2 linked regions of the Canis lupus familiaris genome follow. The protein of the gene in region 2 binds, or shares a complex with, the protein of the main gene of each other region. Links are inferred from orthologs where the notes say so. Each region holds a gene or a part of one and is shown on either strand. Other genes may lie near its edges.

The links.
Region 1: the proteins of APLNR (region 2) and APLN are in contact, whole or in part, in a cryo-EM structure (PDB 8XZG), measured with the Homo sapiens proteins. The link is inferred for Canis lupus familiaris from reciprocal best matches to the Homo sapiens genes APLNR and APLN. Residues at the interface, in NP_005152.1 of Homo sapiens: Tyr35, Phe78, Trp85, Tyr88, Thr89, Tyr93, Ser106, Ile109, Phe110, Met113, Pro163, Val164, Arg168, Gln180, Cys181, Tyr182, Met183, Tyr185, Glu194, Glu198, Leu201, Gly202, Ser205, Tyr264, Lys268, Tyr271, Ser275, Cys281, Asp284, Leu285; in NP_059109.3 of Homo sapiens: Arg66, Pro67, Arg68, Leu69, Ser70, His71, Lys72, Gly73, Pro74, Met75, Pro76, Phe77.

Annotation. Positions count from the first base shown.
Region 1 is NC_049260.1:101,760,243-101,764,043, reverse strand, and holds part of APLN (apelin), read left to right. Parts: intron 1-3,534; coding exon 3,535-3,701; 3' UTR 3,702-3,706; intron 3,707-3,801. UniProt on the Homo sapiens protein: Peptide hormone that functions as endogenous ligand for the G-protein-coupled apelin receptor (APLNR/APJ), that plays a role in cadiovascular homeostasis. Functions as a balanced agonist activating both G(i) protein pathway and beta-arrestin pathway of APLNR.
Region 2 is NC_049239.1:39,344,627-39,349,134, reverse strand, and holds the start of APLNR (apelin receptor), read right to left. Parts: upstream 3,062-4,508; 5' UTR 2,642-3,061; coding exon 1,502-2,641; 3' UTR 1-1,501. UniProt on the Homo sapiens protein: G protein-coupled receptor for peptide hormones apelin (APLN) and apelin receptor early endogenous ligand (APELA/ELA), that plays a role in the regulation of normal cardiovascular function and fluid homeostasis.

The sequences.
Region 1 (3,801 bases), on a different chromosome or scaffold from region 2:
ACACACTCAAACTCCTCCACTGCCTCCTGACCTGGGATACACCTTGCTCTTCCGAGTCGGAGAGCTGCTGGGCCAGGGCCAAGTGTCCCTTGGTCTTTGTCTGAGCACCTCTCTCCCCTTCCTGCCCCCCTCTCTCCCCTTCCTTTTCCTCCACCTTCTCCCCACCTCCTCAGCCATAGCTCCAAGCCTGCAGTCACAGTGCTAGTGTGAAGACAGCCTACTGTACCTCACCCTCTCAGGGAGGGGGCATCTCTCCTCCATCCCCAGTCCCTAAGTGCTAAGCACTCCTGTAACCTGAGTCAGGCCTCTGGGGCAAAAGACTAATGCATGTGAAGTGAATGGCCAGGCTGCCAGAATGTGGTGTGTCCAAGGGCAGCAGAGCTGGCATGGGAAGATAGCTCCGGCCAAGGGGGAGACAGCGGTGCTAAGCGGACCAAGGACGGGTGCCTCAGTTGGAGAGAGCTGCCATATCATACATAGAACAGTGGAGGGGGCATAGTCAGCGGGGTCGCTGCCACAGCACCCATGTGGGCTTTGAAAGCAGTCACAAGATAGACTGGACGGCAAGAGGAGAAACAGGTGCGTCATTCCTGGTGAGGCTGGCATGTTCCTGGAAAGTCACACACACCTCTTTGTGCATGGGCAGGCGGGGTTGGGAGTTTACACTGCACAACCATCAAACCCTGTCCACCCCTGGCTGTGGTGCTCCGTGGAGAGCTGCTGAGGCTTCCTTCAGGCTTCCTTCTGATGGTGCTTCAGAGAGCAGGGGCTCCAGGCCCTTTGGGCTTCAGATTCTTCCAGGGAGTTGCCCCAGCCTCCCTCTAAGTAGCAAATGAGTTAGAAGAGAATATTGAAGCATACTGAGAATGGCCCCTGTTTCTAGAGGGGAGATTCTTTGGGGCAGCCAGGACCTTTGCAGTGATGAGAATCAACAGCCTCTAAGTTGGACAGGATAAAGCCTGGGTTTCAGGTGTCAGCTTATCTCAGGGTGAACCAGACTCAGAATCCAAAGTAGGAGGAAACAGGTGGGTGATGGGATCATGGTGTGGGAGGAGCTACAGACTTCAGGCTACAAAGAAGACAGTGAGCCCCCCACCCGATGGGATGCAACGTGCCAGGGGCTTTCTGGGTGGCTGCTTTCTGGGGGTTGGCTGATTGTTCAGGAAGCTCAGGGGGGTTTTCTACAGGCTTGAAGTCTAGATGTCTCCCTGGCCAGAGTCTGAGCCACTCTCCCTGTTCTCCATCCTGGTTCTCGGCCTTCCCCCACTTAAGGCCTTTCAACCCTAGCCTTCCCTCCCTTACTGCCAGCAACACTCACAGTCCTAAGTACTGAATATTTTGAGGTAATGTCCTCCCCTACCCTCTTCTCCATGCCCACTCTACCCGTGGGGCTGTGCCTGTGCCATCGGCCCACCCTCACTCACCCCCAGTAGTAGAGGGCATGAACTGAAGAACCCAAGGCCCCTAGGGTCCTTCCCTGTGCCTGGCCACACCCTCAGCACAGTCCTTCCCACCCTGAGTATGACTCCTCATCAGCATCATTCCTATCCCCCTCAGTTGTCAGGGAGAGCCTTGAGGGGACCCCAAAACACAAGGCAGAAGCTGTAGCACCTGAGTTTGGGAGTGGGGTGGGGAGGCACTTAGTGAAGGCCCTTCCCTCCTCTCTCCTTCCCCAGTCCAGCCCTTTTGCAAATGGCTTTATGACAGACAGAAGTGGCCTCCTGCCCTACCTCCCCAAAGTGCGAATATAATTTGTGTTTTCATTGTCTCATTTGCGGTGATGGGTTTTAATTCTTATTAGGGGATGAGCTGACACATTAACCTACCCCAACCAGAAGCACGGAAGTGTGGCTGGCAAGCAGTGGGATCCTAATGGGCCTGTGACTTTTCTTGGGGAAGGTGGGTGGAGGACTAGAGTGTGCGCATGTGCGCAGTGGGCTTGCGTGTCTGAGAGAGCAGCAGGCCCTGGGAGCCTGGGTGGGGAGGGCCCAAAGGACAAGCCTCGCCTGCTTTTGGCCCAAGAGGAGGATAAATGCCTGGAAATTGTGTGCAAACGGAGGAGGAATCACTAGAGCCAAGGAGCCAACAGAGGAACCAGAGCATGGGGATGCTGGAGACAGGAGGAGGGAAAGGAAGAGCAGCCAGGGGCATGACTGGGGGGCTAGCAGCCAACGGGTGGTTATATGGAAACTGTGAGCTAGTTGTGGGGATGCCTGGATGGATGGAAATGGGGCTTTAGGGGCAGGGATACAGCTGAAGGCGAATCCGGTGGTGTGGGAGGAGAGAGACTGGGATTTGCGATCACTGACCTCAGAAGCCATATTTCTGCAGGCCAGCCCTGGACTTGGCATTGCACAAGTTCCCTGCAAGTCCACCTTCTGCCCAACACCATCTCATCTGCCTGTTCTTCCTGCTTCCAGAGGCCAGGCATGTTTCTGAAGTGCAAGCCCACCTTCCGTGGCTGTCCTGCAGCCTTTATGAGAGCCTCCCTCACTACACTCAAGAGCATCCAGCACCACTTGGATTCTCTTGTCAGGCCTTGGCCTGGCATTTGGAGGCTTCTACTCTAAGCCAGATGTGGACAGATGTAGAGCAGAGTCCCAGAGAGTAGAAGAGAACTGGAATTTAAATGGAAGGAATTTACATCAGACACAGGGTAGAAGTGTGATCTGGGGATGAAAGGAGACAGGCATTCGGTGGGGAAGTGCCAGTAACAGTAGCCTACACCCCTCCTGATGCACAGACTTGCTGCTTCAAGTGGCCGTCCACTCACTGGGTCACTCATTCATTCTGATAATATTTATTGGCCTCTAAATCTGGTCACAGGCTGAATAGAACCCAGCTTAAGGCTCACAGAACCAGAGATGACTCCCCACCCCAGCCATACCCACAGGGAGATGACAGGGAACAAGGGAGCCTTAGTGAGGCTGAAACACTGATGAGGTGCCCAGGGGTGAGGTAGGAGATCTCAAAGTGGGTCACCTGCCTATTGAAGGATGTCAGAGCACAATGACATGGTGTTCTGGATTTGCTGTAAAATACTTCCACTAAGAAAAAAGAGAAAAGGGATAACTAATGCATATGTGACTCCATCTGGATAGCTGTTGAACCCGGGTGATGGGTATGTGGTGGTAGGGGATTCATTTCATTGTATGCGTGAAATGTTTGAAGTGCATCTGTGATAAGGGTGCCATGGGGAGTTCTTGCTTGCTGTGCCCTAACCAAGTACAGACATATGCTCCAGATTGTACCCCCCCAATGATGTTCTAAATGAAGAACACGTTTGTCCCTGCCAGAAACGTGGTAGAACTGCCAAAAGGACATAAAGTCAGCTCCATAAATTACGAGATATGAGTAGTAGGTTTGGCCCAGGCCAGTGTAAAAATTGCAAACTGTTCACCAAGATGGAAGATAAAACCAAAGGGAAGCTTCAATGAGTACTACCTCGTGGAGACGTTGCCCCTACCGTGAGCCCGCAGCCCTCTGTCCATTCGCATCAGCCTCCCTAGCTAACAGGCTTTCCTCTTCCTGCAGGGCCGCTGCTGCAGCCTTCTGACGGCAAGGCGCTGGAGGAAGGCAATATCCGCCACCTGGTGCAGCCCAGAGGCTCGAGAAACGGACCGGGGCCCTGGCAGGGCGGTCGGAAGAAATTTCGCCGTCAGCGGCCACGCCTCTCCCATAAGGGCCCCATGCCTTTCTGAAGCAGGTACTTGAGCCTCTCTCTAGTCAGTGGGCAGCGGAAGGAGCAGGGGAGGGAAAGCCCGGAAGTTGAGTGACCCTGCTGCTTATTGCTGGCCAGAC
Region 2 (4,508 bases):
ACCCAGGGAAAGGGGAGAGTGGTAGGGAACACACTCATGGACTCAGAGCAGGGGGGAGAGGTGTGGGAAAGGAGCCAAGGAAGCTCTTAACCACCTCCTGCTTCCCTCATGGAACTAGGAATGATGGCACCCAGCACATTGGGTTTCCCCAGGGCTTGGGCACCACTGCCTTGGGGACAGATCTCCCAAGAGGGGTCCCAGCCCTAACAGGAACATCTCTCTTAAAGCACGGACCAGCCGTCAGAGCCCCCAAATCCAGTGGGGGAAGGGGTGAATTCATTTTTGTTCTATATTGCCTCACTATGTCCCTCTTTCCCCAAGGATGCTGCGTGCAGAGTGGAGAAGTGGTAGAGAGTAAAGAGTAGAGAGTAGGGGGGTAGTTCACCCAAGTGACGAGTGACACAGGCACACTGCTCTTCCTGTTATACTCATCTGTGTACACACACAAGCACACACACACGCACACACATAACTCTTGGCACCCAGCAACACCAGTGCTCAAGAAAAGTGTCCTGCCTGGAGATGCCAGGCTGTGGTGGGGAGACCTACAGGTCCCAGTTCTGGAGAAGGTCGGAGGGGTGAGGAATTGGAAAGGGAAGCCAAGCAGCATATAGACTAAATACGGACTCCCTTCTTCCTCGACGTTGCCTTCCCGACTCCCCACTCATAGAATGACACCTAGGAGCCGGCAGTCCCATCACCAACCCCGTGGACTTCCGATTGCCATGGGGAATAGAGGTTGAATGAGAGGAAATCTGCAAAAAAAGCACATCTAGTTGGCATGAAGGAGGGGCTGCAGGAAGCGAGGCCCCCTTCTGGGATCCTTAGTGCCCGAAACTACAGTGAAATGGTCCGGTTTGCAAGAAAGTTCTGGAGCTCCCAGCTGCAGAGCCTGGAACTAACTTTGCTGACACCAGCCCCGGTCCCTCCTTCACTCTCGGGGAGCCAGAGAGTGTGTGCAAGCTTCAGGATTCTTAACCCTTGGAAGCCCTGCAGAACCAGGGAGGTGAATAGGGGAAGAAGGAGGGATTAAAGAGGAGGTGTGCCCCGGAGACCGGGTTGGAGCCAGCAGGTGACAATTCGGGCTGGAAAGTGCAGACAGAGGAGAAAGTAGGGGCAGGGAGAAGGGACAGGGCATTAGGAAGAAAGGAGGGAAAAGGAAAAGCTGGAGATCCAAGAAAAGGAGTGGGGGCAACCCAGTTCAGTTGAGCCAGCACAACTTCCCTTGTTTTATATACAAATGGGGAAACGGAGGCCCAGAGGGGTCAAGACACTCGTGCAAGGTCCGTCTCACGGATACCGAGTGGCCGAGCAGGAGCCTGCAGGGCTCAGTGTCCTCCCACTCAACCACAAACCTCTGAACAAGCCTCAAGAAGGAAGGAAGACAAGAGGGGGCAGGGGGGCAGGGAGCAGGGGAAAGGGTGGAGTGAGAGGGAGAAGGTGCTGTCATGCTACCTGACTTTCAGAGAGCAGGGGAAGGCCGGGCAGGCCCCAGCCCTAGTCAACCACGAGGGTCTCTTGGCTGTAGGGGATGGACTTCTCGTGCATCTGCTCTGCACCCTTCCCCGAGTTGGGGCCAGGGCCCCTGGCTGTGGCCGGAGGAGTAGCTGGCCGACTTCTCCCCGCTGCTGCTGTGGGAGGCCGCGCCGCACCTGCTCCGGCCGCAGCAGAGCATGGACGCGCAGGCCTGGCGGAAGCGCGGGTCGAAGAAGGCGTAGAGGAAGGGGTTGAGGCAGCTGTTGACGTAGCTGATGCAGGTGCAGTAGGGGAAGACGTTCATGAGGAAGATGTCCAGGTCGCAGGGCCAGTGCAGCAGGCCGCCCAGCATGTAGAGCGTCTTCACCAGGTGGTAGGGCATCCAGCAGAGCGCGAAGGTCACCACCAGCACCACGATGATGCTGAGCAGCCGCCGCCGCTTCCGCAGGCCCTCGATGCGCTCCTTGCGGAAGTGGCCGGCGATGGTTTGGGCGATGAAGAAGTAGCAGGTGAGCATGACGGTGAAGGGCACCACGAAGCCCACGGCGGTGGACGACACCCCCAGGCCCACCTCCCAGGCCCACTCGGAGCTGGCGGCGGCCACCATGGAGTAGTCCATGTAGCACTGCACCTTGGTGCTGTTCTCCAGGTCCCCGGTGGAGCGGAACACCATGACCGGCAGGGCCAGCAGGGCGGCGAGCACCCACAGCACCGCCGTGGCCACGGCCCCGCTGACCCGCAGCCTCAGGCGAGCGTTGGCCACGGGCCTCACGATGGCCAGGTAGCGGTCGAAGCTGAGCCCGGTGAGGCAGAAGACGCTGGCGTACATGTTGACGAAGATCACGTAGCTGCTGAGCTTGCAGGCGAAGGTGCCGAAGGGCCAGTCATAGCCCCGGTACGTGTAGGTGGCCCAGAGCGGCAGGGTCACCACGAAGGTCAGGTCGGCCACGGCCAGGCTGGCGATGAAGATGTCTGCTGAGCGCCTCTTCTCGCGGCCGCTGCGGAACACGGTCCAGAGCACCAGGCCGTTGCCCGTGGTGCCCAGGAGGAAGACCAGCATGTAGATGGCGGGGATGAGGGCGCCCGACGACTTCCAGTCCGCGTACTCGCACTCGGACTGGTTGTCGGCGCCGTAGTAGTTGTCGAAATCGCCAGCCTCCTCCATGCCGGCAGCGGACAGAGGCCGGGCGGGGGCCCCAGGCGGGAAGGGCCGAGGGTGTCCAGAGCCCCCCCAGGGAGCCGCCGAGGAGCTGCCTGGGGCCCAGCCGTCCCCCCACCCTCTCCTGCCGAGTCCCCGAGTCCCCAGTCCCGGCCTCAGCCAAGCCGCTTCCCTGCGCCCTCCTGAGTCTCTGTCTCCTCCGTGTCTGGTCACTCCCTCCTCCCACCTCCAGACCAACCCCTCACTTGGGAGTCTTAAGATCTTTAAGTTACAGCCCACTTTCTTTTTTTTTTTTTCCCTCCTTCTCCTCCCTGGGCAAGTGGACCGAATGGAGCCCTGCTGCCCTGGGCAGAATATTATCTGGGGCTTGCAGCCTGCCCTCCTCCCGGCCCCGCCTCCACCCTCTGGCTGCCACCCACCTTCTTCCCAGCCTCAGCCTCGGGCTCTGCTTTCCTCTGGCCTTTGGAGCAGCCCCTCCACAGACCTCCTCACCCTCCCATTCTCACCCCCTCCCATCCACTAGAAATGGGGCGAATTATGCAGATTGAAATGGAGCCCGAGCTGGAGCCAGGACGGGTGGGGGGCAAGGAGGGTGTGAGATTTCGCAGGATGTTCTGAGCATCTGGCAAGCCCTCCCCGCAGGCAGGCGGGTCTGGCCCCCACCCTCCCCCTCCTGCCCTCCCAGCCCCCACGCAGACCAGACCTCACTCCTCTCTTCCCCCCCCCTCATGGCCATCCTCCTTTACACCTCCACACTTTGACCCCCTCTCTGGAAACTTTTATGGTTTACAGACACAGTTAAGGGGCTTTCTCCAGGATTCATGCGAGGTTGGCAGACCGCCGCCGTTTGCAGATGGCCTGGGAAGTTTTAGAGGGTGGAGGACAAAGTCGCAGGAGAAAGAAAGTCCAGACAAAAGTCATTAAGTCAGGTGATTAAATCTGCGGGGAAACGGAGGCCTAACAAGGCAAATGTCTTGCTCCAAGTCACAGGGATGAATCTCGCTACAGTTCTGTGGTTTGCTTTCCTTCCTTTCCAAGCACCTGCCTCTGCTTACCAGATAGTAGGTGATCACTAAATGATGGAGTGAGCTAAGGGATGGATGGACTGGTTGCTGGTGGAAAGAAAAGCCCGTAGGCTCTGGGAACCTCAGACACACTTCAATCTTCGGGGACCAGCTCTCTGTGAGACCAGCAGCCAGAGGAGGAGGCAAGGGAGGGGCAGCCACTGAGGGGATGCTATGGGCACAGTCCCGGACAAACTCACTTTGCCCCATCTGTTCAGCTTTCCAGGACCTCTGGGCAGGAACAAGGGAAGGCCACACAAGATTTCATTCTTAAGTATACCTCTCGTGAGTGGAGGAGTCCGTCTAAGGTTGGGCAGGGATAAGATGGCACAAAATCAGGAGATAAGTCATGGCCCCATCCAAAGTAAAAGGCTTATAAAACAAGAATCCCTTGTCTCAAAGGAGGGATGGTCGGAAACCCTCGTGCAGGGGTCTGCAAACTCAAATACTCACAAGGAGCTGGTTCAGAGGGTCATGCATCTTATATGTGCTTACTATCTCCTTTAATTGGCACGACTTTGGAAAGTAGGCACTCCTATTAATCTCCACTTACGGATAAGGAAACGAAGGCACGGGGAAGTGAGGTCATAGCCAAGGTCACTCGGCTGGTAATTGTCAGAGCCAGATTTTGAACCAAGGCTTGAGCACATAGACTAAACCTCAAGTTCTCCCACCCACCCACCTACCCGCAAAAAAAAAAAAAAAAAAAAAGAAAGAAAGAAAGAAAGAAAGAAAGAAAGAAAAGAAAAAAGAAACCTCAACCCTTTTTAGATTGGCAAGGTTTGTCATCTGCTGAGCATCATAGAAAT